4 linked regions of the Xenopus tropicalis genome follow. The protein of the gene in region 1 purifies or fractionates together with the protein of each later gene. This does not show direct contact. Links are inferred from orthologs where the notes say so. Each region holds a gene or a part of one and is shown on either strand. Other genes may lie near its edges.

What was found.
Region 2: the proteins of utrn (region 1) and sntb1 purify together in Homo sapiens (affinity purification with mass spectrometry; 3 studies listed by BioGRID and IntAct, with this or other methods). This does not show direct contact. The link is inferred for Xenopus tropicalis from reciprocal best matches to the Homo sapiens genes UTRN and SNTB1.
Region 3: the proteins of utrn (region 1) and dtna purify together in Homo sapiens (affinity purification with mass spectrometry; 3 studies listed by BioGRID and IntAct, with this or other methods). This does not show direct contact. The link is inferred for Xenopus tropicalis from reciprocal best matches to the Homo sapiens genes UTRN and DTNA.
Region 4: the proteins of utrn (region 1) and mark2 purify together in Homo sapiens (affinity purification with mass spectrometry; 4 studies listed by BioGRID and IntAct, with this or other methods). This does not show direct contact. The link is inferred for Xenopus tropicalis from reciprocal best matches to the Homo sapiens genes UTRN and MARK2.

What each region holds. Positions count from the first base shown.
Region 1 is NC_030681.2:45,399,341-45,406,321, reverse strand, and holds the start of utrn (utrophin), read right to left. Parts: upstream 4,272-6,981; 5' UTR 4,236-4,271; coding exon 4,139-4,235; intron 1-4,138.
Region 2 is NC_030682.2:138,612,073-138,618,329, reverse strand, and holds part of sntb1 (beta-1-syntrophin), read left to right. Parts: intron 1-1,507; coding exon 1,508-1,647; intron 1,648-3,737; coding exon 3,738-3,934; intron 3,935-6,160; coding exon 6,161-6,257. UniProt on the Homo sapiens protein: Adapter protein that binds to and probably organizes the subcellular localization of a variety of membrane proteins. May link various receptors to the actin cytoskeleton and the dystrophin glycoprotein complex.
Region 3 is NC_030682.2:112,828,775-112,835,031, reverse strand, and holds part of dtna (dystrobrevin alpha), read right to left. Parts: intron 4,296-6,257; coding exon 4,206-4,295; intron 2,118-4,205; coding exon 1,949-2,117; intron 618-1,948; coding exon 491-617; intron 1-490. UniProt on the Homo sapiens protein: May be involved in the formation and stability of synapses as well as being involved in the clustering of nicotinic acetylcholine receptors.
Region 4 is NC_030680.2:36,150,520-36,156,776, forward strand, and holds part of mark2 (serine/threonine-protein kinase MARK2), read right to left. Parts: intron 4,714-6,257; coding exon 4,616-4,713; intron 4,137-4,615; coding exon 3,987-4,136; intron 462-3,986; coding exon 207-461; intron 1-206. UniProt on the Homo sapiens protein: Serine/threonine-protein kinase. Involved in cell polarity and microtubule dynamics regulation. Phosphorylates CRTC2/TORC2, DCX, HDAC7, KIF13B, MAP2, MAP4 and RAB11FIP2. Phosphorylates the microtubule-associated protein MAPT/TAU.

The sequences.
Region 1 (6,981 bases):
AGGAGATGGCACGTTCAAGAGGAATAGACACCTACAGTATGTTTAGCTTGAGCCAAATAAACAGGGCTTCTATAAAAAGTGCTAAGTCTATTATTTTAATTAAAAAACATAATTTCAAATATAGAGACCTGTTCTTTCCCTTACCAACACCCCAACCCACCCCCTTTGGGAAATTAGTTCTACTGTGTATAAACGAGTCCCATCCTGCCTCTCTAACATCATACTTACAGGTAAGGCCCTATGGAGAACATTGGAGACAACCTCCAACCTGATCCGCTGCATGTCTGCAAAGCAGCAGATACTGTACAGGTCAATGAAGAGGTGTACAGGAGCAGATCTGCTTCTCCACAGGCTGAGAGCAGCAGAGCCAACCCTCCATGGAGCCTTAATGTAGCCATACAGGGGCATATTTAAGCCCTTTAAACCCATTTGGCAGCTCATCTACCCATGCATGGGGCCTTCCTGAGCAATATCTGGCCAAAAATCAGGCAGGTGTCGATCACTTTGATTTTTGTGTCAGATTGGGGACCACTTCGGCTCACTGAGGTGGCCTTCAGTCTGAAGGCCCCTATAATCGTCATTTTAATTAAATCATTTTGACCTAGGAAATTCATATTAGCCAGGGGAAAATCCACTCATATGGTGACCTCGCCAAACAAGCATGATCTGTGACAATCCTGGGAAAAAAACTGAACAGTGGATGTTATGCACTGGCAGGAGTCACGGGGGGGGGGGGGGGTCATATTAGCAACAGCAGGGGTTGCTAACTTCCACTCATAAAAGCCAAAACGTTAGGCACCCTGAGGGCATATTCCATATAAGAAAATCCACATGAATAGTCATCGGGGCTTGTTTATTAACATGGGACAAATTTGTCTCTTGGCCATAACCCTCGACAGCCATAGGTCAGGTGGACAGGCCATGCAACACTGCAGCACATTCACCTTCACATGGAGCAAGGGTACATTTTTCCAACATCTTCTGCTGCTTCTGCCTTCTCTTTGGAACAGGCAGGTGCATGCCTAGTAGACTGAAAGCTGAACTTTGGCACAACAGGCTGACATTTTCACTGTATTGCATATGTGCCTGCACAGACCCGGAGAAGAGAAGCCAGAAATACCTAGGCCACTGCAGTTTTCTGCTAACAGGAGGTATTAGCCCTGGGGGGTGCATTATAATTTGGTGCCCCACAGAGATTATAGCTTTAGTTTTTCTTTGGAGGTTCCCAAGGGCTCTTACACATCACATTCCACTGGACAGGAATGCATGAGTTAACAGAACCCAATTTACCCTATAGACTCACTGTGCCTCACTGAACTGCAGAACACAGGTCAGACACAATTTGCTGCATTTCACCTTTCAGAGCTACCCATGTGCCATATAAATTTTGGCCATTTCTCAGTTTACCAGTCTATTTCCAAGTTTCCATTACCTTATTTTGTAGTTTTCTAAAATAAACACATAATCCTTTGTATCATGACACAACCCTCCCCACAATATATGCCCAAGTAAACTAGCACCCAAATATTTATTGTTTATTTCACTGATGTAGTGTAGCCTACGCAACAGACATCCCAGGAATGTTCAGCAATATTGGCTCCAGAGATCTGTATTGCAAGCAGCCATCCACACTCTTTGTGTGCAACTCTTCTATTAATGGATGGCATAAAATGCATCAGCGTGACATTGTGACATTGTCCTAAGTCAGTCAAGTGTGCCTGCAACTGTTTACTTACCATAACTATAATCTAAACAGAGAGAGCTTGTTATTACGATTATTTTTAGCTTTACATTTATGTAAGGAATACATTCTACAGGTCTGTGCATGAAGTGAACAGTGTGAACTAGTAGGAAAAGGCCCACACTCTAGACATCCTAGGAGTGTAGGCAAGAGCCCACTGACTATTTGAGCACACTATTTATCATGATTTTTAACTGCTCCATATTTGTTGAGTATATTCTATAGATAAGTTTACCTTGAAATAGCTCATTTACTTGTTCTTCTTTAAGCTGTATTGCATAATATAATGTTATTATATGGCGACAGGTGTGCCATTCCTCTATGCAGTCTACGGTACAACTGTTCTAATGTAACAAAAGCTTTCAGCGCAGCTTCGGTCTCTCTTGCTGAAAGGCATCAAGCTAAGAAGTATTGTGCTTCTGTCAGGCACAGGAGCTTAGACTAGATTTATACTGCAAGGTGGAATGTAAAGAAGGAGATGAAAATATTGAAAGGAAAATCTATCCTATTAATAGACAGGTTTTACATTAATGTCATTTTGCTATGAAAGTTAAAGGTGCAATTCACCTTCAGAAAACTTAATGAAAACTAAGTAACGACTTCAAGCTAAACACTAACACAGTGACAATTTGCTATAATAGTGGTATAATATTGGTGGCATTTCTCTGGAAGGATGAGAATATATCAAACTACGTATTACATTTTAACAGTCTTTGAAGCCCAGGACCTTGATCATAGAGCTGCCCCTAGGGAACATGAGAGTAAGCAAAATAAAAATAACTAATTTTAAAAGTTACATTTAAAAAAAGTGATTATTTACTATCTTGTTATTGTCAGGATCACATGTGTGGCAGCTCCTACAAGTACCAATGAAATATCAATTAATGATTGTTAAAATGAAACAGCAGTTCCAGGGCTCAGCCTCTATGCTTCTCACATTTGGGAGTACCCTAGTTTTCCATAGCAACAACGGACTGCATAGAAACAACTGAAATGGGCCAGTATATGTATTTTAAAAGGTTCTGTATAATGTCCTTTGCCCTGATGTCCATAATCAGTAGCTCATACAAAGGTCTCTCCCAGATGTGCCTTTAAAATATATTTTAGTATGATGTAGGCAGGTAAATTCACACAGTTTGCAGTTGGTCTTTATTTTGTGTGTGTGTGTGTGTGTTTTTTTAACGCACCTCTCCAGTTTAGAATTTTAGCAACAACCTGGTTGCTAGGGTATAGTTTAACCAGTGGGTTGAATATGAAACTGAAATATAAACAGGAGAGGACCTGAGAATAAGAAGAAATAAAAATTGCAATAACAATAAAACTGTAGTTCCTCAAAGTGATTTAGTTTTTTGGGTAAAAAGTAACAGAAAAGGAAGGCAAATAATTAAAAAACTATTAAAAATAAAGGGGATTTGCTAGAACATCCTGTAAAACATCCTGCAACTTAAAGGAAGAGAAAAACAAAAAAAATCTTTTATAATAAATAAAATATAATGTACTGTTGCCCTGCACTGTTATAGGGTTGTGTGTTTACTATAGTTTATATAAGTAAACTTCTGTGTAATCACAGGGGCAGCTATTTAGGGCTCTGGCACACGGGGGAGATTAGTCGCCCGCGACAAAACTCCCTGTTCGCGGGCGACTAATCTCCCCGAGTTGCCTACCCCTGCCATCCCACCGGCGAACATGTAAGTCGCCGGCGGGATGGCAGACGCGGCGGCGCGATTTTGCGCAAATCGCCGAAAAAGACTCGTGAGTCTTTTTCGGCGATTTCCTGAAATCGTCCGCCGCGTGTGCCAGCCGGCGGGATGGCAGGTCATGGCAACTCGGGGAGATTAGTCGCCCGCGAACAGGGAGTTTTGTCGCGGCCGACTAATCTCCCCCATGTGCCAGAGCCCTTAAGCTACAAAAAAGGGAAAAAGGCACAGGTTACATGGCAAATAACAGATAAATTCCCTTTATCAATTTAAGAAGCTGCCCCCATGGCTAGACAGCTGTTTTGTTTATAAATTATAGTAGTGTTTCTGAAGCAAACACACAACTTTTTACTGGTGCAGGGCAATAGTAAATAATACATTACTTTGATAGACTTGACTTTCATTTTTTGTTGATGTTACAGTTTGTTTAAAGGTGAACTACCCTTTAGTTATCTTAACATATGGATGTATCAATTCATGGAATGCTGCCCATCTAACATCAGTCTAAACTATATTAAAGGCAGCACTTGTACTGCTGCAGAATGAATAAAAGTATGCAGGAGCAGAAATCAGTTGCATATATAGTGTTTCCAAGCAACAGGTGTAAAGATGCCGGTTTGGTGAAGCAGTCCTAAAAACCACTCCAGGCTGGCAGCAGTTACATCACTGACTATCCCCCCAGAATTATTAATATCTGTACCTGGTGTCACAGAGTGTGTCCTTAAGTTTGATGATACCTTGAGAGAAAAGTGGGGATGTTTCCATGCAGGTTGTGCAGGCAGCCCCTTCACACTCATGTCAGTGTAACTGCAAGCAGCAGCAGCAGCAGAGGAAACGGATACTGATTTTAAGCTAGAAGCAAATGCATTGTGGGCGTGTGTGGAACTCACTGGATTTCCTATATTACGCAGAAAGTATGTGAAAACACTAACAGACAAAATACTCCCCGGAGGGTTAGAAAGCATAACAGAGGCAGGCAAGCCTGTGTGGGAACCAGAACTTCATCTGGTCCTGTATGATAAATAAATTAGAAACATTAGCAGCAAAGTCTGCCAAGCAAATTGTTTGGAACCCTCCTAGCAATGCTAAAAGAGAATTCATGTTTATTCATATGTTTTGGCCTAAAACGTGCTTCATGCCTAACCTGCAGCATTCTAGTTGGCTGAGCATCATGGGAGCTGTAGTTAAAAGAAAAACTGGATAGCTCTGTAGTAACAGTAAACCATGATCAAATTTAACTATATATCATTTTTATTCTATATTTTTTTATTTTAATAGCACATCTACAGAGGACATTTATTTAAAATACTGAATCTTTATTGGAACACCCTATCCCCTCTGATTCCTGTAGCTGTTAAAATTAGTGATGAGTTTGTGTTAATTTTATTCACATAGATGTACAGTTACATTTGGGTAGCCAATCACAGCTGCGCCCTTACATATGGAAATGTATATTGCAGTTCACTGCCAGATCTGCTGGGTGCCCATGGTACCGATGGTTCTACCGAGCACTGATCCACAGGTAAGCAAACATGATTATATCCCACAGACAAACACCGATTTAAAAAAAAACAAAAAAACACACTGGTGTAGCCTACAATGCAAGACATTTATTCTCTGCTAATATAGTTTTGGCATTAACAAAAAGGTGGCTACCCTATCAAAACAGGTCAGTCCATGCAAGAGTACTTTTCTGACCAATTACATTTTATTTACACACTTCAAACCAAATACAACATGATCAAATTCATCAGTGTGTTCAGGCCATTAGTATTCTCTTTTATGCACCCCTTGCGAGCTCTATTGCCATGAGGCAAGGTAAGTAACTCACCTCTGGCAGCATTTTACTAGCGCTGGAACCCTATCAGGAAAATAGATCAGCTAGGTTTCCTGTTGTTTGTCAATATTTTGGCAAAATGGCTCCACATGCCTCAGCTTATTAGCAATATGCCTATCTTTGGCATTGCTGGTTTGTACCTGGTCCTGTCTGGTGTTAATATATATCCTTTCCAAGTGCTTTCCAGAAAAAATATTTATTTGTATCATTAATGCCAAGAACACCCTCAAAATCTTCTGTGACCAGGACTGGAGTTGCAGTGTGTGTTTAAAGAATGCAGCGGAATAAGCATCTTATAAACACGTGTGATGGTCCCAAAGGGTTTGGTCACCTTAAATTTGATGCTTCCATAGAATAACTAATTGACAAGAGGAAGCAGCTGGTTTCTAAACAGATTTATGTTTGACAGTATTTACTGTAGCAATGGCAGTTAATGAATTTAAAAATGAACTTTAAAGCATGACTCTCTATAATCTAAATTTAGGAATTAAAACTAAATTCAGTTTAGATTAAGGAAAAAGTGAGATTTCAAGTAATCAACTAAAAAAAAAAAAAGAAAAATGTGTATTATAAATAGTGTATCCCTTTTGTAACCTGTATAAGCACTATGCCTAATGCCTTTACTGTATATGGTCATGGAACTTCTTGTTGACTGCTAATATCACTATTCACAAAATACATTACTGCTCCAAGTTGCCACTTGTCAGAGCAAGCCACTGCGCTGACCCGATTGTGACACTAGCCACAAGAATCAGCCTCAATTGTGGCACAGTAAATGAGTAAATGGCACTATACCTAGGAGTTAACTATATGAGACTCCTTTGCTGAAGGTATTAGTGTCCATGCCACAAAAACAACATACAACTACAGTACATGCAACAACATACAGAAGCACATGATTCTGTTGGATGCTACAAAACCTTGTCCTGATCCTTGAGAATTAAGAACTGAGGGGCAGACAGGAGCATTTGACCACTGCTATTCTCTGCAGAATGGCAGTGGCGGCCTAAACGCAGTCTTCTTATCTCTGTAATATACAACTTTCTCCCTGTAAATGGTAGATTAACGACCATCATATAATGGTCGTTAATCTACCATGTATATGGAGAAAGTTGTATATTTGAAAAATTAAATCAAAACACAAATGTTCTATGGAGTCCTAGGCAAGCACAGGAGACACAAAATCCTTCTTAAAGTGATACTGACAATAAAAAACTACTCTTCAAAATATTAATGTACATAAAAAGTTACCTACAGTATAGGTTATTTTGATCATTTTTCACTGAGTTTGCTTCTGTAAGTAATTGTTCCTAAACCTCACTGTTTTGCCAACCTGATTGTCCCTTCTCAACCTGTCAGTTATAGCTTCTAATGCTAAGAGACTACTGATACACAAATATGGCAGCCCCCTCAGAGGAAAATGGGGGATCAGATAGGTAATGTAAAAGCATCAGGCAAATACTTTTATAGCAAAATTATAAATAGCATGCAAAGACAATGTTATTATAGATGTGAAAAAGGTTTAACCCTTTTACTGCCAGCCATTTTGGTCAAAGCGGAACTTGTATTGCCAGACAGTTTTTGAACATTTTGCACTGTTTCACTTTAGGGGCCTTTCCTCGGGGGGACTTTTAGTTTACCAAGGAAAACAATATATCGTTTTTTTCAGAACAACCTAAGCTTTCAAAATATGGTAGAATTTTTGT
Region 2 (6,257 bases), on another chromosome or scaffold:
AGGTGCCGCCGAGACAGGCCGAGACCTCTCATTTATTCAGTTTTGACACTCGTCTCTTCACTCATTTCCTTGCTGTGTGGGAGATTTGGGCTGTTTCTCTTTGTGGTTATTCGCAGTGGAAATTACCGGTGTGACTGGAGGCTGAGACCTGAGCTACATTTCATACGGCAATCAGGATGTGCTGGGAGCTGGGGCTCGGCCCCAGAGCCACATTCACATTCAGCTGGAAAGAAACAGCAGAAAAAAGAAAATAATTCAAAAACTTTAAAAAACATTTTGCTAAGATTAGGCCATTTTACTAAATACCAAAAATTAACCTGAAGGTTTGCTTTCTATATTATAAATGCAGTAGACTGAATAAACCTAAAGCAGAAGCCAGGGTCGGACTGGGGGGTGCAGGGCCCCTACCGGCTGCGTCCCCTAACCCCCCCGCCACAGGGGCCCCCACCCGACGTCCTCCCCTTAGTGTGTGTGAGTTTGACGTGTCAGGGGTGGAAAGGTCGGGCAGGATGAGCGCCGGCAAGGGAAAAATCCCGGTGGGCCCCGGCTCTAGTGGCCCACCGGGGCCCACTAGAGCTGGGACCCACTAGAGCTGGGACCCACCGGGAATTTTCCCGGTGTCGATCCTGGCAGAAGCAAATGTTTGTACTGTTAATAAATGACACTAAAGGGGTTGTTTATCTTTGATGCAGAGAGTGCTGTTCTAAGACAATTTGCAGTTGGTCATCATTTCTTATTGTGTGTGGGTTTTGGAATTTCAGCAGCTATCTGGTTGCTCGGGTACAACCATAGAAACCAGGCAGTGGCTTGCAAGAGAGACTTAGAATATGAATAGACGAGGGCCTGAAAAGAAAAGAAATAAATTGTAGTCTCGCAGATCAATCGTTTTTTTTTGGCTGCCGGGGTCAGTGACCCCCACCATTTGAAAGCTGGAAAAAGTAAGAAGGTCATATACAAGTGTACAATTTATTTGTATTATGAATGAAAGTAAATGTTTAGCAGTATCTGTGTTGGGCCAGGCTTAGGGAAGTTCTACATGGGGAAAACCAAGGTGACCAAAAGCTCCTTCCCTTTACCGAGTGGGAAATGAGAATATTTCCAGACAATAAACCATAGGGTAGTGTATAGTTACAATGAGTTTCTATATGAAACATAATGGCAGACTATCAAATAGGGGGGATTCAGCACAAACATCCTATAACACGCAATGGGTCTGACAGATAGGATGCAATGGTGGTGCCCTTTCTGTGCCTACAGCAGTGATCCCCAACCAGTGGCAAAGGGGCAACATGTTGCTCACCAACCCCTTGGATGTTGCTCCCAGGGGCCTCAAAGCAGGGGCTTATTTTTGAATCTATGGCTTGGAGGCAAGTTGGCAACACTTGAAACCTGTTTTGTGTCCATGCCGACATTTTTAGCTCTTCGGTTCCAGTTGCAGCTCCATGTGCTTGGCCTGTTCTGATCGGTTCTGTTATCTCCCACTAATGGGCCCTGTGCTTTGCTCTAGGTACTTGGAGAGAATGAGAAGCACTGGAAAGCGGTCCTGATGGTCCTGACAGAGAAGGATCTGCTCATGTATGATTCCATGCCTCGCATGAAGGACGCCTGGCTCAATCCAGTACATGCCTACCCACTTATAGCCACAAGGTACTTCCATCTCTCATTTCTCTCTCATCTCACTAGTAGGTTGGAAAGCCAGTGCACTTTGACTATCTTTAAATGTTGCACTAATATTTAGCCTATGGTCCAGTTGGTTGGATAGTGGGTCTTGGCAAATATTTGTTCAAGAGGAACTCCACCCAAACACAACTTAAGCTTGTTGAAAAGTAAACATAATTTTAAGAAACTTTGCAATATACATCAATTAATAAATATGCAACATTGTCATGATGTTTAATGTAATAATATGGTTTGGAACAGTTCCCTAAGCCCCCTGTTCCCCTGCTGATCTGGCTGACTACTTTGTGATTTAAAAAAAAAATGTGACATGAGTGATGTCAACAAGGAAAGGAACATCACAGTGCAATGCATTGTGGGTTATGTAGTTCCTGCATATCGGCCCTTTAGACCGATTCTGCAGCTTTTCCGCCTATGTATGGGCACAAACGACGGCCTGCCCAACCAATATCTGCCCAGAAATCGGGCAGATCTCCATCAGGCAGGTTTGATTTTTCAGTCAGATTGGGGAACACATTGGCTCGTTGATGCGGTCCCCAAACTGACTGCGCCTATACCCACCATTCTGATTCGATTTTTGGCCCCAGGGCTGGATTTCAGCATATAAAATGGTATTTATTCAAACTTTTTGAAGGAACAGATTACATTAGGGGTCACTGAGTTGTGTGGGGGCTCTTTAACAAATTTTGGTTTGGAAGCCAGAGATGACTTTTAATTGAGGGTTAAAAATGGGGGTACCATCTGCCATCAACTCACCTCCTTATTTTTCCAATCTTTTGTACTGTAGATCTCATGTACTCAGGCTCTGCCACATGTCTCAGAATGACAGCTGTGACAGCTGCTTATTTTTCCTTTCATTGTGAAAACCAGCAGTCACACATGGGAGACATCTCTATGTGCCTTTAGGGTAATGGTCCAACTGCGTCAGCTGAGCAACGGTGTAGCTGTCACTTTAGTGCCCAAATTTGAGTTTAATAGAGCATTTTTCAGCTATTTGCAATATTTTTCTATTTAATCTCAATCTTAGCTTGGCTATTTTTTCTCTTGCTTCCCAGTAGAACTAGAGGCGATTCCTACACTAGGTTTCATCTGCGTATTTGTGTCTATGGAACTAAAATAAGAAGGACAATAATAAAGCACAAATGAGTGCAAGTGTGGGAGAATACTGGGCCAGCTTTACCCATCGATAACTTTTAAATCAGGCCACTCTGGGGACATGGCTAGGAACATTATAATAAAATATTCATTGCTTTCAGAATCAATAACTGATCCATATAATGTCCCTTTTCATTCTGTAATGTCCATTAACTAGGTTAGTGTTACTGGGATTAGAGAGATGATGATCAGAAGTGTTTTTATTCATTATTTATTGTTCTCCAAATTAATCAATGATCCAGTTAATGTCCCAGTCCTTTCTAATAATTATTAAAGGGACAGTGGCACCAAATAATGGAAATATCCTACTTGCCCTTAAATATAATATTCACCTTACCTGCATACTTTCTAGCAGTTCCAGCCTTGTCTCAGTATGCCATTGTTTCTATGGCAGGCTAACTACAAGATCCTTTTTCGCTAAATACTAGAGACCAGAAGAGGGTCTGGCCTTGCAGCCAATGGAGAATAGCATTGCATTGTGGGAGATTCAGCCAAACAGGGCATCAATGGGACAGTAAGACATATCAGCATAGTTATTCCCCTATAATAAGTACAATTCTGATGGTATAGTGGTCATTAAGGGGCTATTCAAAGTAACTGTAGCAAGGTAATAAATAAGTTCCATTGTTTTCTATGGGGCATGCCACACAGACTATGATTTGAACTGAAAACTTACCCTATGGGTTGCAATCGTCGTTACATAGGGTTTAAAAAAGTCCATCAAGTTCCACCCTTCCAAGTAAACCCAGCACACACAAACCTATTAGCTACATTTCTTATGTGAAATTGGCATTAAGGATAATGTAGGACTGTATGGGATGTTTTCTGCAGCTATGTGTCTACTATTGCTGTCTTTACTACAACACTATTACAGCTGTACTACCTTAAATGTTCCTTCTTTTCAGGCTGGTCCATTCCGGCCCTGGGAAAATATCTTCCCTTCCTGGCACAGAGTTCTCATTTGCTACCCGGACAGGGTCGAAGCAAGGGATTGAGACCCATTTCTTTAGAGCCGAGACCAACAGGGATCTCTCCCTCTGGACCAGGTCTATTGTACAGGGCTGCCACCACTCTGCCGAGCTTGTGAAAGAGATATCAACTCGTAAGTACCACCTTGGCACAACTCCACTCCCTGCTTGAATGAATTAAGCACATTCTAAGTGTGTTCTGATATAACCAGAATAGAAAGTGCTTGTTCTTGCAGGATATTTACCAAATTTAAATGATGCAAAGTCTAAATGATCCAAAGTGTAAAGCCAGAGTCTTGCACAGATCACAATTAGCGTGTAGCATTGCTGCCATGCAGTGCTGGGGTCCTGAGTTTGGCACCAGGGTTGGACTGAGCCGGTGGGGCACCAGGAGAAAACCCAACACTAAAATGTCTTGCCAAGCCAGGACCAATCCCTTTCTCCCACCCTGCTGGCCAGGGTCTGCAGGCCTCAACACACCGCTTACATGCCAACATGGGAGGAGAGAGGAGGTACATGGTGAGGCACAGGTTGGCCGACCATTCCTCCCCTGACGCGTTCAACCTCACGTCAGGTGGGGGACCCTGCAGGGCATTAGGGAGGCTCAAAAGGGAGCACCTGCTTTGAGGGTTAGGGGGTGTGGGGGACGCGGCCGGCGGGGGCACCTGCCCCGGTGGGCCCTGCACCCCTAGTACGACCCTGCTGAGGCAGGAATTTGCAACACAGGGCTGCTGCCTCCCTCCCTGCTGGCTAAGATCTGTGGTCTGGCCCCCCCCCCCCCGCTAGCTGAGATCTTCAGGCCCGGGAGGAGAGAGGAGGTATGTGGTGGGGAGAAATTGCAAAAGGGTAGTTCACACAGTTGGGGGAGTTTGTGAAGGGGGTAATAGTGGTGGGCCCTTAGGTGACAGCCCCGGTGGGCCCTGGAAACCACTGTTTGGAACTATCTGCTATAATGTTTGTGTGTCTGCATGCAGGGCTGCTCAAGGGGCCAGTGGGCTCAGGGCAAAGCTGTGAGAGACAGGCCCCCTCACCAGCCCCACAAAAATTTGTAATAGGGCTTACCTTGAGTAGAAGAACATGAATATAATGGACAAGAGAAGGAAATAGACTGTGCTTACTGAAGTAGGCATAAGGTTACAGTACCCCAGCCTAGAAAAATTGCAATCACTGATACCAGATTTTTATTACAAAGACCCCATAGTGGCATTTGTTCTATTAGGATGTTAAAGCAAACAAATATTCTACAATAGTTGTGTCCTAACTGATTAATATGGGGCGTCTGTGTTTTGTGGGAGATGCGTCAGACAGACGTTATAGAAGCTGGCAGGTGTGAATATGGGACCCCAGTCCAAGTGGGCCCTGGGCAAATGCCTCATTTATTAAAACAACCCTGTCTGCAAGGGTTTCTCCCAGGTAGCCTATATTCCTTCCATGCTCCAAAAACATACAGGAAAGTTAAATGTAATGGGGCCCATAGATTGTAGGCTCTACTAGGGCAGGGACTGATGTGAATAATGTATAATCTCTGTAAAGTGCTAAGTAAATGTGTCAGTGTTCTTTAAATTGAATTGAATACAGGTAAAAGCGCAGGAATGATTATGAAACTAGGAAAAGTGCCTATATATACTTTAGCAGTGTTTTAAACACTATGTATAGCTAGGCACAAGGCAGCAAGGCACAAAAAGCCTCTGTTTTCCCAGAATTTCAGTGCAACAGAACACAATATAGTGTACTATGATTTACTAATGTGGGATTGGGGTTACTTACTATACATTAATCAGTGTTTCATCAAAGATTGACTGTGTGTAGGCACAACAGGCAAAGGGAACTCTGAAATAGCAGCTCCTTAAGGCAGGCATTCATTCCAGGATTCCGCTTCGTTTAAAGGTGCACATTTTAACCCCATTTTAGCGCTTTGCACTTGTGTTTGTAAATGAGCATTAAAGTTTGATACACATACATGGTGCCATCCAGTGGTGAAGGTTTTGTATTGCAGTGTTTCATTATGGTTAGGAGACAACCATATCAGGGCACAGTTTTCAGCTTGCCCCATGGCAGAAAAGGCACGGGGAATATTTAGAAAGACTTAAAGTTAGTGTTACCCCAAGAAATAGAGCACCGTTTGGCGTCAAAGTGATCAGATATTGATAAACACTTTAAAAAAATGCTGACTTGAATGAAGATATCAGCAGATTAAAAGGCTAAGGAAATGGCAATTCTGCACCACCTTTCTAAATATCACGTCATTCTACATTCAGTGACAGCTTTCTCATTGGGCGAGGCCCCCCTGCCAACCTATAAGAGATTCATTCTGTCACATGGGCTTATTCATTGGCTTTTATGATTTCTGTTCCTTTCAGCTTGCACTTACAAGAATAATGAGTGTCGCTTGGTTATAAACTATGACCATGGATTCTTACTGACCTCCGAAGCCTTGGATGGTACCTATTCCCGACC
Region 3 (6,257 bases), on another chromosome or scaffold:
TGATAATTTTTTGCAAGGTCGGGCTGGCAAGGTCAGGCTGGCATGCCAAAGTACCAAAGGCTCTCCAAGTGGACACATCAGTCCTTTCCTATTTCTATCATAAGCCAAATAAAATATATTACATTTATCTCTCTCTGCATCTAATATTTGGGCTAGCGGGCCAATAATATCTAACGTTCTGATGGGCCAAATAGGTCCAGACACTGCTTGTATGGGCTTTAAGAATAATATACATATTATTCTACTCATTTGTTAACATTGTTCAGCATGATCCCAGCTGTATTAACTTAGACTCTTGCTTCTGTTAGTTATAATAAATAAGGATTTTATAGATAGAATTAAGAATAAGTAAAAATATGATTTGGCAGAACAAATACAAACTTAGAAACTCAATGTATTTTGCTCCTTCAAAATGAATGTTATTCAAATATGCCATTGTTCTGCTTTTCAAAAAAATGTCTTCCTAAGTGCTAAGTGTTTGAATTATCACCTGATAAGCTTCATCTTGTAACTTCTGCTTTAAATACTCTTCCATCTTCAGCTCATGTTCTAACTGGCGCACAGAGTCATTCTCATAAGTCTCATCATCATGCCGACCGTAGGAACCCTCTGTACCCCTAAAAAGCAGACAGATGATCTTATAAAATGATTACAGCGGCACTGTTCAAATTAAATGTTATTGACTGTCAGAGATTAAAGTAAAAATGTATATTGTTTCCAGCTGCTAAAAACACTAAAAAGAACTGCTGGCACAAAGCGCTAAAATAATACATTAGACTTCACACAACAAAAACAAAACTGGCAAAAGATCATAGCAGATTTGAAATGCTGCACTGTCCAACATAATGTTCACTTTAAGAGGACATATATTCCTGAATCACAGACAAATATTGTGAGTGCAACCTTCAGTGCAAGATAATGACCGCTAAATACTGATCTAACCTGTGCTAAAACAATTCTTTTATTTAAGTGATTTGCTTTTTCTCTGTACTAATGAAAAAGTGCCTTGTACTTTATGCTTTATAAGCCAGAATAAATTCATATTCATGGCAACACAGTATACCGAATTCTGGAAACACCCATTGTCAGGAAGATCCCAAGTATTCCCAAGAATCAGATAAAAATTTATTATCCAACCATTTTAATTACTATTTAGTGTAGGAAAAATTATACTTCATCACAAGTATAACGAAGGCCCACTATAGACAGAACAGACACCAATTTTTGGTCACAACCCCAAGATTAAGAAACATTGGTATAATAGATTCCATAATTACATATGTATGGTGTATAGGCACACAGTTGGTACAATAGTCTTGTTCTGAAATGGGGATTTTGGAACATAAAGCAGTACAACTGGGCTTATATAAAGGACACCCAGTATTCACTGAGTTTAAACAGAAGGGAATTTGCTCTTGTCATTTGGCTACTTTTAGAGCTAAAAGAGGTTTTGTAATAAAGGTTTGCCCTGGGGCAGTAACCTATAGTAACCAATAAGCAAGTACAATTTTCTGGTCACCTATTTAAAAGCAAACATCTTATTGGTTGCCATGGATTACTGCTACTGGGCAAACGTTGCCTTTTATGGAATACATGTGTATAGGAATCCAGATGTACTGAACCAAGTATTGCATTTAGGTCCAAGTATTAAACCAAGTATTGAATTTTGGTCCTGTCATGGAACAAGGCATTTTTCTTGGTTAGAGATGTTGGAACTCTGGTGTCTTTAGATGTAGATAATTAGTGGAGAACTCCTGGTCAGTATTCTTACCATCAGCAGCTCATAGGACACAAGTGCAGTTCTAATAAAAACATTTTTTTTAGGTTGTGGAAAGTTCCAAATTTTGCCCTTATGAATGTTCTACAGTCTTCATAAAGGAAAGCCCAAGGCTCTGTATTGTTAGCAAGAAACATGTCATTGTTGTAATGCATTGAAACAAATACATACAAGTCAGTGCGAATGTTGCCAGTAGCAGCAGAATGATGATTAAACCCTGGTTTTCGTGCATGGATCTGGGCAAGGAATGCCTTCTCTGAGGTTGGGGAAGGAACCAAATCATCAAAATGAACACGGCCATATTCGGTATCCACACCACACTCTGTTTCATTTCCAACATCTACAAAAGAAATATCTGGTGTTTATCTGGTGTTTACCTTCCCTCTCAAACCACATACAGAAAATTCACTGATCCACACTTACAGGTGATGCCAAAGGAGACTTTTGCACTTTATAAAGTGCAAAAGTTTCTTGTGACTTATTGGACAAATGTAAACATAGGTATTTGCAAATAACTAGTATTAATAAACGACTCAGTGCTCTCTGGATAAAATAACACCCACATACAGAGCATTAGATGCTGAATAGCTTGTGTTAACACCCACCTGGCAGGATAAGTTCTTAATTTATCCGTATGTGACGTACAAACAGCAATCAGTAAAGCAGAAGGAAATGCTAAATGTCAAGCCTCATTCAGGATGAATCAGAAGTGCAAGTTAAGGCTTTAATAATGTCAGAATTTGTTCATGCTAATGTACAGCCCATATTGTAGCTATAGTAAGGCTGCTATAATATATACCTATTTGTTTTACCTGAATAGGCCAATATTTACCATGAATGCTCTTCTCAGTTATTTTGCTAATCATAAAATAATTTGAATTTGGTTTAATTTACAGTATGTGTCCTGGGGAGTCTGCAAGTGACACAACTTTGATCACTAAAACGTTAAGGGTATCCATATCTCTGAAGCAGAAAGCTCATCAAATGATTCAGTCTATAAAAGCCTCTACCTGCTCCCTTCACATGCTATATTACAAAATAGAACTGCAAGCTTATTCCAACTGAATCATTATGTTGGGCTGAAAACCCCCAACTTCAGCTGATTCTTCCTCTTTTTCTTCTTCTTATTCTTAGCGCCCCCCATTTTCTAAACGCCACTCCTCCTACAGTTTTAGGGGTGCTGCCATTCTCACAGTAATAACACCAGGGTCCCCAAACTTTGCAGGGTTAGGCACCAGGTAACTGTGGTTCAAGGTTAGAAAAAGCGGGCGGAGCCACCAATAGCAAATCAGATTTTACCTATTGACTTTCAATGGGGATATTCAACCTGCTGCCATTCTGACAGAATTAACACCAGGGTCCCCAAACTTTTCACAGTTGGTCACTAGGGGACCGAAGGTTTAGTATGGAAAAGTGGGCGGAGCCACCAACAACCAATCAGATTTCACCTATTTAAGTCTACTGGTTTGATGCCAGGATCCCCAAACTTTGCACAGTCAGTCACTGGGTGACTACATACTCAATGTTAGAAAAAGTGGGTGGGGCTGCCAAAAGCCAATCACATTTCTTTCATTGTTTTCAATGGGATAATTTTAACTGCTGCCATTCTCACGTGTTTAATGTCAGGGTCCCAAAACTTTGCCCAGTTTGTCACTGGGTGACTATGTTCCAAGTTTAGAAAAGTGGGCGGGGCCAACAGCCAATCAGATTTCACCTATAGACTTCATATGTTTAAATTTAAACTGCTGCCATTCTTTATATATTAATACTAAGGTCCCCAAACTTTGCAGAGCTAATCACCAGGTAACTGTGGTTCAGACAGATAGTTCAGAGTATCTAGATATAACTGTAACTGTAAATAACTGAAATAGCTTGTGTTTACATGACATGTTACTTGCCAGAAGTGCCAGTGTTTTTTATTGTTTTTTATTGTTACTGTGAATTCTTTGAAGCCTCCTTCAAAGTGACCTTATTCATAGAAGCCTTCTTTGAAGAACATCACTTAAAGGGTCAGTCTATCATCTTTTTGAGTATAAACTCAATGAATAAGACGGCTGAACACACTATTTCATATTAATTACAGAAATATCTTTGGTTTTTATATTTCTTTCACAAAACATGTCAAAGATTGAATTTGAAGCCAACTTTCACTTTCCAGCTTCCTGGCTACCAGCTACCAATCCAAAGATAAGCCAATTGGTTAATGAGCTGCTCCTCGCATCAGTTTGGGTAAAGGATGGGTTTGTTTATGCAGAGCTTAATATCGCTTTTTAATTAACCTATTGCGAGGCGGAAATGCGGGGAGAGGTTGTTCAGGAAAAAACAAAAGAACACATTTTCAACACAAGTTCTATTCACTGTGGTCATGTTGAGCAGTGCTGTATATGGGTGTATACTGACCTCACTGTGTTTAGCGCTAGACACTCACCTGACTTCAGCTCTTTAACCAGAGAAGACATAGTATTGGTAATGGAATCAGCTGCTACAAGTAAATCATTACGTAAATTTCTCCTTGCACCTGGAGAAGAAGAGAAAATATATGTGAATATCAGTTAATATAAGCAAAGATAGTTAAAAAAAACTGTAATATTTAGACTGTCAATGTTTTGCTCTTATATCAGATTAGCTTACGTTATGGGTCAGAGTTAGATGAAAAGGGGCAATGTAAAACTAGGGAAAATGATCCGAGTGGAGAAGAATGCTGTTAAACTATATCTCCCAAGCACCCCCTTCTAACACCCAAACCTGATGGATTGTTAGAGTTGCAGCTTGATGACAACAACTTTTTTAAACGATTTTAAAAAATACAAGTTTCAGTTTCAAGACATGCATCCATTTCACGTTTTGGTGTAAATTAAACCAGCCTAACTGATCCAGAGTTAAGTGAAAAAGCATCATGTGATACCTCTCCAGTTTGCCACACAAGGAGAAAAATTTATCTTGACTGGATCACTCAAGGTATTTACACAGGGGATTGGGGACTGGGCTGGCAGCCGACCAACAAGCGTTCCTGGTACGTTTATCTACAGTCTGGACCCCAGGAACCCTGGGAAATCAGGACAAATGGTCTTCTCTCCCTTAACACCAACAGACTGAATTTTAGAGGGATCATTTTAAAGTGGAGCAATAAGTGGCACAGAAATACAAGCTATGCTTTTACACTGTTGATTGCTTTGTGCAAAGTTAATTCTAGTTTATGTACATTTATAACTACATGCACCAAAACTTTTACATATGGAATTTACACCAAAGTGGAACCTCTGTGTACCTCCAGTGGCATAACACTGTGTCAGGCCCCCCGCAAAAACATCTTTGGAGGTGCCCAGTGCGCCCCTACCCAGCCCTCCCTTTAAACACCCACCCCACTGTGTTCCCCATTTCCCAGCAACTCACGCTGGGTAGGTAAGAGAGCGGCTGAGGAGATGGGATTTCTTAAAGCTATAGAGAGAGAGCAGACCAACTTCTTCTATAGTTACACTACTGGGCACCTCTATAAATACTGTATGTGCTTTCTTTAATGCAGATTTTTGGCATAAAATTACTTTACATATGCTCCCATTCAACAGGTTAACGTAACTACTTAATTCCTATTTGCTACAGTAATAGCTACACTGACATTAGTTTTTCAATTGAAACAGCATCATTTTGAGAGTATTTTATAAATGGGCTTTGTTCAAATCTGTGTCTGAGGCAACATAACCAGGAGAAAGCTGTACCTTAAGTTTGTCTGTGGCACCCAGTCCGGGCCCCTCTGCCCCTTTCCATTGTCGTCCCTCTTGCCCCCCGCCCTGCTGCATGACTAGAGTACGCAAGAATGCAATAGTGCTCTCTTCACTAGTAGAGCCGAAATCCCAATTTAAAATTCTCAATTTGGGCAAACATGGCTACCAGGAGCAGCTTTTTTCAATCCCTGATAAACAAATGGGCTCTGCCGCCTGAGGCAAGAATCACAACTTGCCTTGTGGCAGCAGTACTCCTGCACCCAGTCAGTGAGTTTGGTCAGTTGTGACTGTGTGGTTTACACGATTCCCCGCCCAACCACAGGAAACAGCACTCACAGTAAAGTTCTATTTAACATAACTTTACCTGGCTTCCACCAACTGGAAATCACTTAGCGAAGCACACGTTTGAAAACAAGCATCTCAGTTTGCATGTACATTTGATAAAAGGTATGTTGCAGTGATGTAAATATAGAGGAAACACACTCAACCCCAGGGGAAAGGGGGGCCAGACCATGGAATCTGCTTCCTCTATAGCTCTAGAGAATTCCCCCTCTCCAGTCGCTCTTCTACCTAAGAGCTAGCAAGAGAAGATTGGTGGAACGGAAACAGATGGGCACAGAGTGGAGAGTGGCAGGGTTAGGGGTTACAGTGCATTGCGGGCTCCCCTGAAGACTTTTTTGCAGGGGGCCTGGTGCCCTGTAGTTACACCGCTGGTATGCTGCTTGCTGAAATGTGTTTTGCCCTTTTTAGTGTTTTCC
Region 4 (6,257 bases), on another chromosome or scaffold:
GACTGGTGGAAAGTACAGGAGCAAACAACATAAATAAGCACTGGCTTTGCATATTAATAACATAAAACTGACCCAATGTAAATAAACACACAAAAATTACAGAACAAAAAATAAATACTAACTTTAAAACATTTAAGTAACATGATACATAATCCCCAACCTGTTGCAATCCTTTTTTTATTGTAAATAAGATTTCACACACTTACCTGCGCACAAATTTGGATGTGAATTTGCTAAATATGCTCCCAGTAGCCCCCCTCCGCCCCTGGCTGTTCCCAGAAGGAGAAGCAGGTGAGACGCTTCCAAATCCCAGGTTCTGTTGGTCCCGAGCTTGGCGGACCTGGCCAGCATGAAATGTGCTGCGGCTGGAAACACCACGAGGGAAGTTGGTCCGCTCTGTTGCGGCACTACTTATGTTGTGAGCTGAGGGGGATGCTACAGGCACTCTCTGGGGGGCTGTGCTGTGGAGGACATAAAAAAAAAATAACAAATCACAATACGTCCCACACATATATTCTATAAAACATAAACATATGCCTCCCAAAGTATAAATGAACTAAATTTCACAGCAGTACTATATGTATATACATAGATATATTGCACTCCATAAAGCAGCCTTTAGAAAAATAGATCAAATCTACTGAAATATTCAGCAGCCCCTTAAAGGAGTAATGGCACCCTGGGCAATTTGTCTTCTGTCCAAGATCGCCTATAGTACAGGTGACAAAATGCATGAATAGCATTGTGATTCTTTGATCCTTGTGTCGCTCCAAAATGCATATTGCTGGATTTTCAAGAGATAAGTGACTGAGTGATCAGCTTGATTTAGCCCAACATGTAGGTGGCCGAAGTGGCAGACTTCACTGTGTATGGCCAGCTTTAACTGTATTTTAGCTTCTATACAAACTGACTGGAAGCTATAAGTAGCATCTGGAGTGCTTATAAACTGGCAATTAATGGTGTAATGGTGGCTTTGAAGCAAAGAGTAATACTGACAGTTCAGTAACTGACTGGGTTTCATTATAATGTATAGGGAAGTTATATTATAAATTGTTCCACAGACTTTCTACCAAAAGAAAAAAAAAAACACGTAGTACAAGTTGCTTGTGTCCCATGAGCCTTTACAGGTAATCTGGTCTAATCTGGATAGTTAAAAGTGTTTCATTTCAAAATCCTTGAGTTGAGGAGACAGGTATTTTTTGTTTGAACAGTCCTGGGTACAGGTAAAGAGAACTATAAAAAGAAAAAGCACTGCACTCATAGGTGTGTGTATTATATTATACACACAAAGACACCATGGTACTTTGCAAAGGTACTTTGGCTATACACAAATTCTTCTGAAGAAATTATACACTGAGGTACAACACTAAATGCAGTGAAACTTAAAACATATTTTTTCTTATGTGACATTGTTTTATTAGCAGATATGCTCCAGGATGTTTATTCTAACCACATGATTTTTTGTGAACAAATATTGCAACAGATTCTCAGTTGTACTGAAATCACCACTTTGATTGGGCTATTGTAGACATTCACGTTGTTACCCTGGCCTTCTGTTTGGGATAGTTATTCTGTTGAGAGATGAATTTTCCCTCAAGCCTCATTTTTCTTTAACAGACTGAAACATGTTCTCTTATAGTAATTACCTGTATTTTGCACCAATTACCTGTACTGTGCACCAACCATTCTTCTGTCTATTTTAACAGGACGCTCAGTCCCTGCTGATGAAAAGCCGTCTCGCAGCAGTAAGGTACGCCTACTTGAGGTGCACAAATGTCATCTGACTAACCTAACAACGTGGAGCAAATCTGCCTGGGAGAATGGCCCAAACTCACTCCCAGTGTGCAAAGCCAGTACATACGCAAAGGCGGCTATACAAAATATTACTGTGGGAGGAGTGAATACTAATGCAAATTGCATATTTGATTAATTGTGATTTAGTGTATGACTTTACATTAAAATATATATATATTTTTTTTAAAAAGTAAAAGTGCTTTGAGGAGCGATACGGAGTTACCTTCCCAGAATGTCTTCTGTAGGGCTTTAAAATATCACATATGATGTGTATGATTTAAAGGGTCTGAATTCTTTTGAAAGTGTGTTTGGTGTATCTATATACAATATGTTTTGTTACTTAATTGCTTTAGTTCTTTAATTTAACAAAAACACCTACAGAGAACCCTTTTTACAGCACCCACCTTACTTACTGAGAGGTATATTTTCTTGAAAATGTGCAAAAACTATACAGGTTCAATCAATGTTACCCTTCTTATAACAACACTTTATTCATAATACAGGCATGACATTATTTTTAGTTTTTTAGATTTTTTATTTCATTAACCTGAAAGCATATCCCTGTATAAGGAAGTACAGGTATCAGACCCCTTATCCGGAAACCCATTATCCAGAAAGCTCCGAATTACGGAAAGCTCATCTCCCATAGACTCAATTTTAATCAAATAATTCAGAATTTTAAAACTGGTTTCCTTTTTCTCTGTAGTAATAAAACAATACTTTGTAATTGATCCCAAAACAATCCTATTGGGGTTAATTAATATTTTATTGATTTTTTAGCAGACTTAAGGTATGGAGATCCAAATTACGGTAAGACCCCTTATCTGGAATACCCTTGGTCCCGAGCATTCTGGATAACGGGTCCTATACCTGTATTACAATTTAAACCAATATGACTGTTTTGCAGTTAACACTGATTATGGTAGTTTAGTTAATTTTAACTGCAAGGTACTTTTTAATTATTACAGATTAAAAACCAAGTGGTGACAATACCATTTTTGTAAGATAGGAGGCCAATAAACTGATCACAGTATATCTCAGGAGAACTGTATATATCATTCTAGAAAAAAAGCATTTTGATTCAAAAGCTGTAGATTTCTTGTTTGGAAGGGGAATGACTTGCTTAAACATTAACCTAGCAAAATATGTGTTATCTTCTGCTTTCCTAGACTTCATGTCAAATTTAAATCTGAACAACCCCCTGCACCTCACTGCACATCATTTGACCTCTAACTGTACGTGTGAGCCAATTGCCAAAGACAAGTGGCTCTCTTGCCTATGATTTAAATGTCCAATGATGGCGAAGGATCCCCAGAGTGGTTTATTTAAAAACACCACCCAAATCTGCCCCCCGTAGTAACCCACAGCAACCAATTAGAGATGAAATTTAATTAGAGAAGAAATTCACTCACTAAAATTAAAAGGGCCCTTTTGACTATTACGGTACTTGAGATATATAGATTTACAAAACCATATTTTTTCTATATACTGAACTTTGAAATGCTTGGTACAGTGAGTAAGTAGAATGAAGAGTTCTATATGCTCACACCTACAATAATGTTAAAAAAATAGTTTGGTGAACCCTAACATATACTTGAAAATGAAGGGCATGTCAATAGAAAAGTAACATTTTACCTAATAAAAAAAATAATTATCATGAGCAACTTTGCAATATAAATTCATTAGAAATTTTCAGTGGTTTGTCTGTCCCTTTCTGTTCTCTGCCCTGGTGGCTCTGACTTTGGAACAGTAAGACAAGACAGCTGATTAAAAGGCATACCTTTGCTGGAGGAGACTGACTTTTGCAACATTGTTTAAATTGTCATAACCAGAAGTTAAGCAAATGTAATTGTAATAGCTGTTACATTTACAAATAACTGTTAAACCACTGAAATTTGTAATAAATGTATATGGGAAAGTTGTTTAGAATTATGTTTTTGTAAATTTATTGGCAAACATTTTTTTTGGGGGGGGGGGGGAGAAGGGGGTTGTCATGCCCTTTGAAAGGAAATACATATTTGTACATTATTATATCAGTTAATAATATGATGATGTGTAATAAATATAAATCTAAATTTACATCGGTCATACAGAATATATTACTTGCCACTAAATTCTCCAGTCACTGCCTGCAAAAGTTAAGTTATAATCTATGTTCTTCATCTATGCTCTTTTGTCCCTTTTAGACTTGCCTTGGCCTTTGAACTTCACAGTTTCCATCCAGGGAAGGAGCGGGTTTGGAAGGGTGCACAGAAGTGGACATGGATTTCTGGTGCTGTCGGATCCGAGCAGAGGTGGCTGGGGCAGAAGCGGTGGAGGCACGGGACCCAGGTGTAGAGAAGCTGAGAGTGATATTCAAATGGAGAAACAAAACAGAAAATGGAGACACAGACTAGGAAAGAATGAGGAAGGGAGACACTGAGATTTCTGTAATGAAAAGGCTTTCAACACAAAATGAACTTCTTCCACTGGGGGATACACAAGACTAGGTATTATGGACATATATTTTCTAGAGATCACAAGGTGAGAATGCACTGATGATACAACATGGGCTAATAATATTCCATGACACTTGTGGGATGATACAATCTTGGCGTGTTCATGGTAGCAAATATAAATGTGTTTCATTGTGATTGAAGGCTTATAAATGATAAAAGTAGCGAATTGCATAGAAGCGTTTTGCAGAAGGTATGTTCCATTGTGAGCCTAACACAGCTATCAGTAGCTTAGACTAAAGATCTGACACCTTTGTTATACCAGACTACTAGAAGAAGAAAGACATGGAATAATATAAAGTATTAAGGTAAGACAAATTTCTTACCTATCCTTTCCATTCTGTACAGATCCAGGCACAAGTGAGGCTCTGTCCAGCATTGGCGAGTTGCGACTGCGATTAGTGCCAGTAGAAAGTACACTGTTCTGCAAAGTGGCAAAAAAAAAAACAGCAATTAAACAGACTATTTGAATGTAGAGGGGAAGAGCATCTGATATTTAAAACTCACACAATGCTCTCTATGCACAAAAACAACATTCTCACCACTTTGAGGAAAAAAACAGTATGAACACAACTGCATGGACTGCAGTCATAGGACACTAGAGGTTTGATAGATATTCTAGCAAAATAATTTGCAAGGGTATTTATATAATGAAAGTCAGCCATATTTGCACACAATTTACATATTCACATATCTGCAGATATACTTTGAATTCCTGTACATTAACATTTTTAAACATCAAAGCTAAAATCAAGGTACAGAAATCAGTACCCTATGTAGCCCTACTGTCTTAGAAATACTACTTCTTAGAATAACCTATTTAAGAGCAGTATCACAGAGATCCACAGGATTTGCAAGGTAAAACAATTGTTTTTTGTATATGTGCATACTAGGTACAGTTTTAAGAAGATGAGTCTAGCCAGGACAAAACAGAAACTACTCCAACATTTTTAATTATCTAAAAGTTTCAAGTAGTCCTGTGGAACCACTGCTATTATGTAAGGAGGAAAGTGACTGGCAATCAGAAGTTATTTATTTATGTATTTAAGGACAAGAAAAAGGGAAATTCAAAGGGTGCCAATGTGTTAGACACATCCCAGTAAATATCATCACTTACCTTAGATTGCCCTGGGTGTATTCCTGCTGCACACTGCTGCCAATGCCCCACTGATTTTCATCCGAATACCGCACTTGCACAGTACAGTAAAGACCAGGCTTAAACTTTGAAGTCACAAATTTTACTCTACTGCACATGTACGCTATCTGGAAAGCACAGAGGAGCATTGCACAAGATGGTGGAAGTTAAGGATAACGTTCATTGGGGATGTCTAACACATTGGCACCCCAAGTGAATTTCCCTTTCCTTTGCCATCAAAGGGTGAAGAAACAATTCATCAGGGGGTACTTAACCATTAATATCAATTGTCAGAAGGTGGTTGCTTTACATAATCCACTACATACTGTATTTCTGGTCATGTTATGACTAAGCAAGGCACAAAGCTAGCACACCTTAAATACAAACCAGCACTGGCAAATAATAAATATCCTATTGTGCTCTGCAGAAAATATCTGAAAATTTGTGTATATGGACCCAGTCCATGATCAACTCATCAGCTGCATGCCAGAGCCTTGTTTAACCAACACTACTCTAAAATTAATATCACCTTAGGCATAAAATAAATACATTAATCTGACCCCTTGCTATCTGTTTAGTTTTCTATTAATTTCAATGACTTCACTGATAAACATTTTGATTAGTTCACTGTAAAAAAAAAAAAAAATACTACATAATAAAGAGAATGTAAAGATAACTATAGAACTGTTTAATTAAGCATATACCCTAAAGTTAGCGGCCATTAACCTGGAGTGCTGAATGTTGCCCATGGCTGTGACATCAACTCCTCCCTGAATTAATTACCATAAAAAAAAACACAAAAACATTGTTTGTACTATATCAGAGACTCTTTC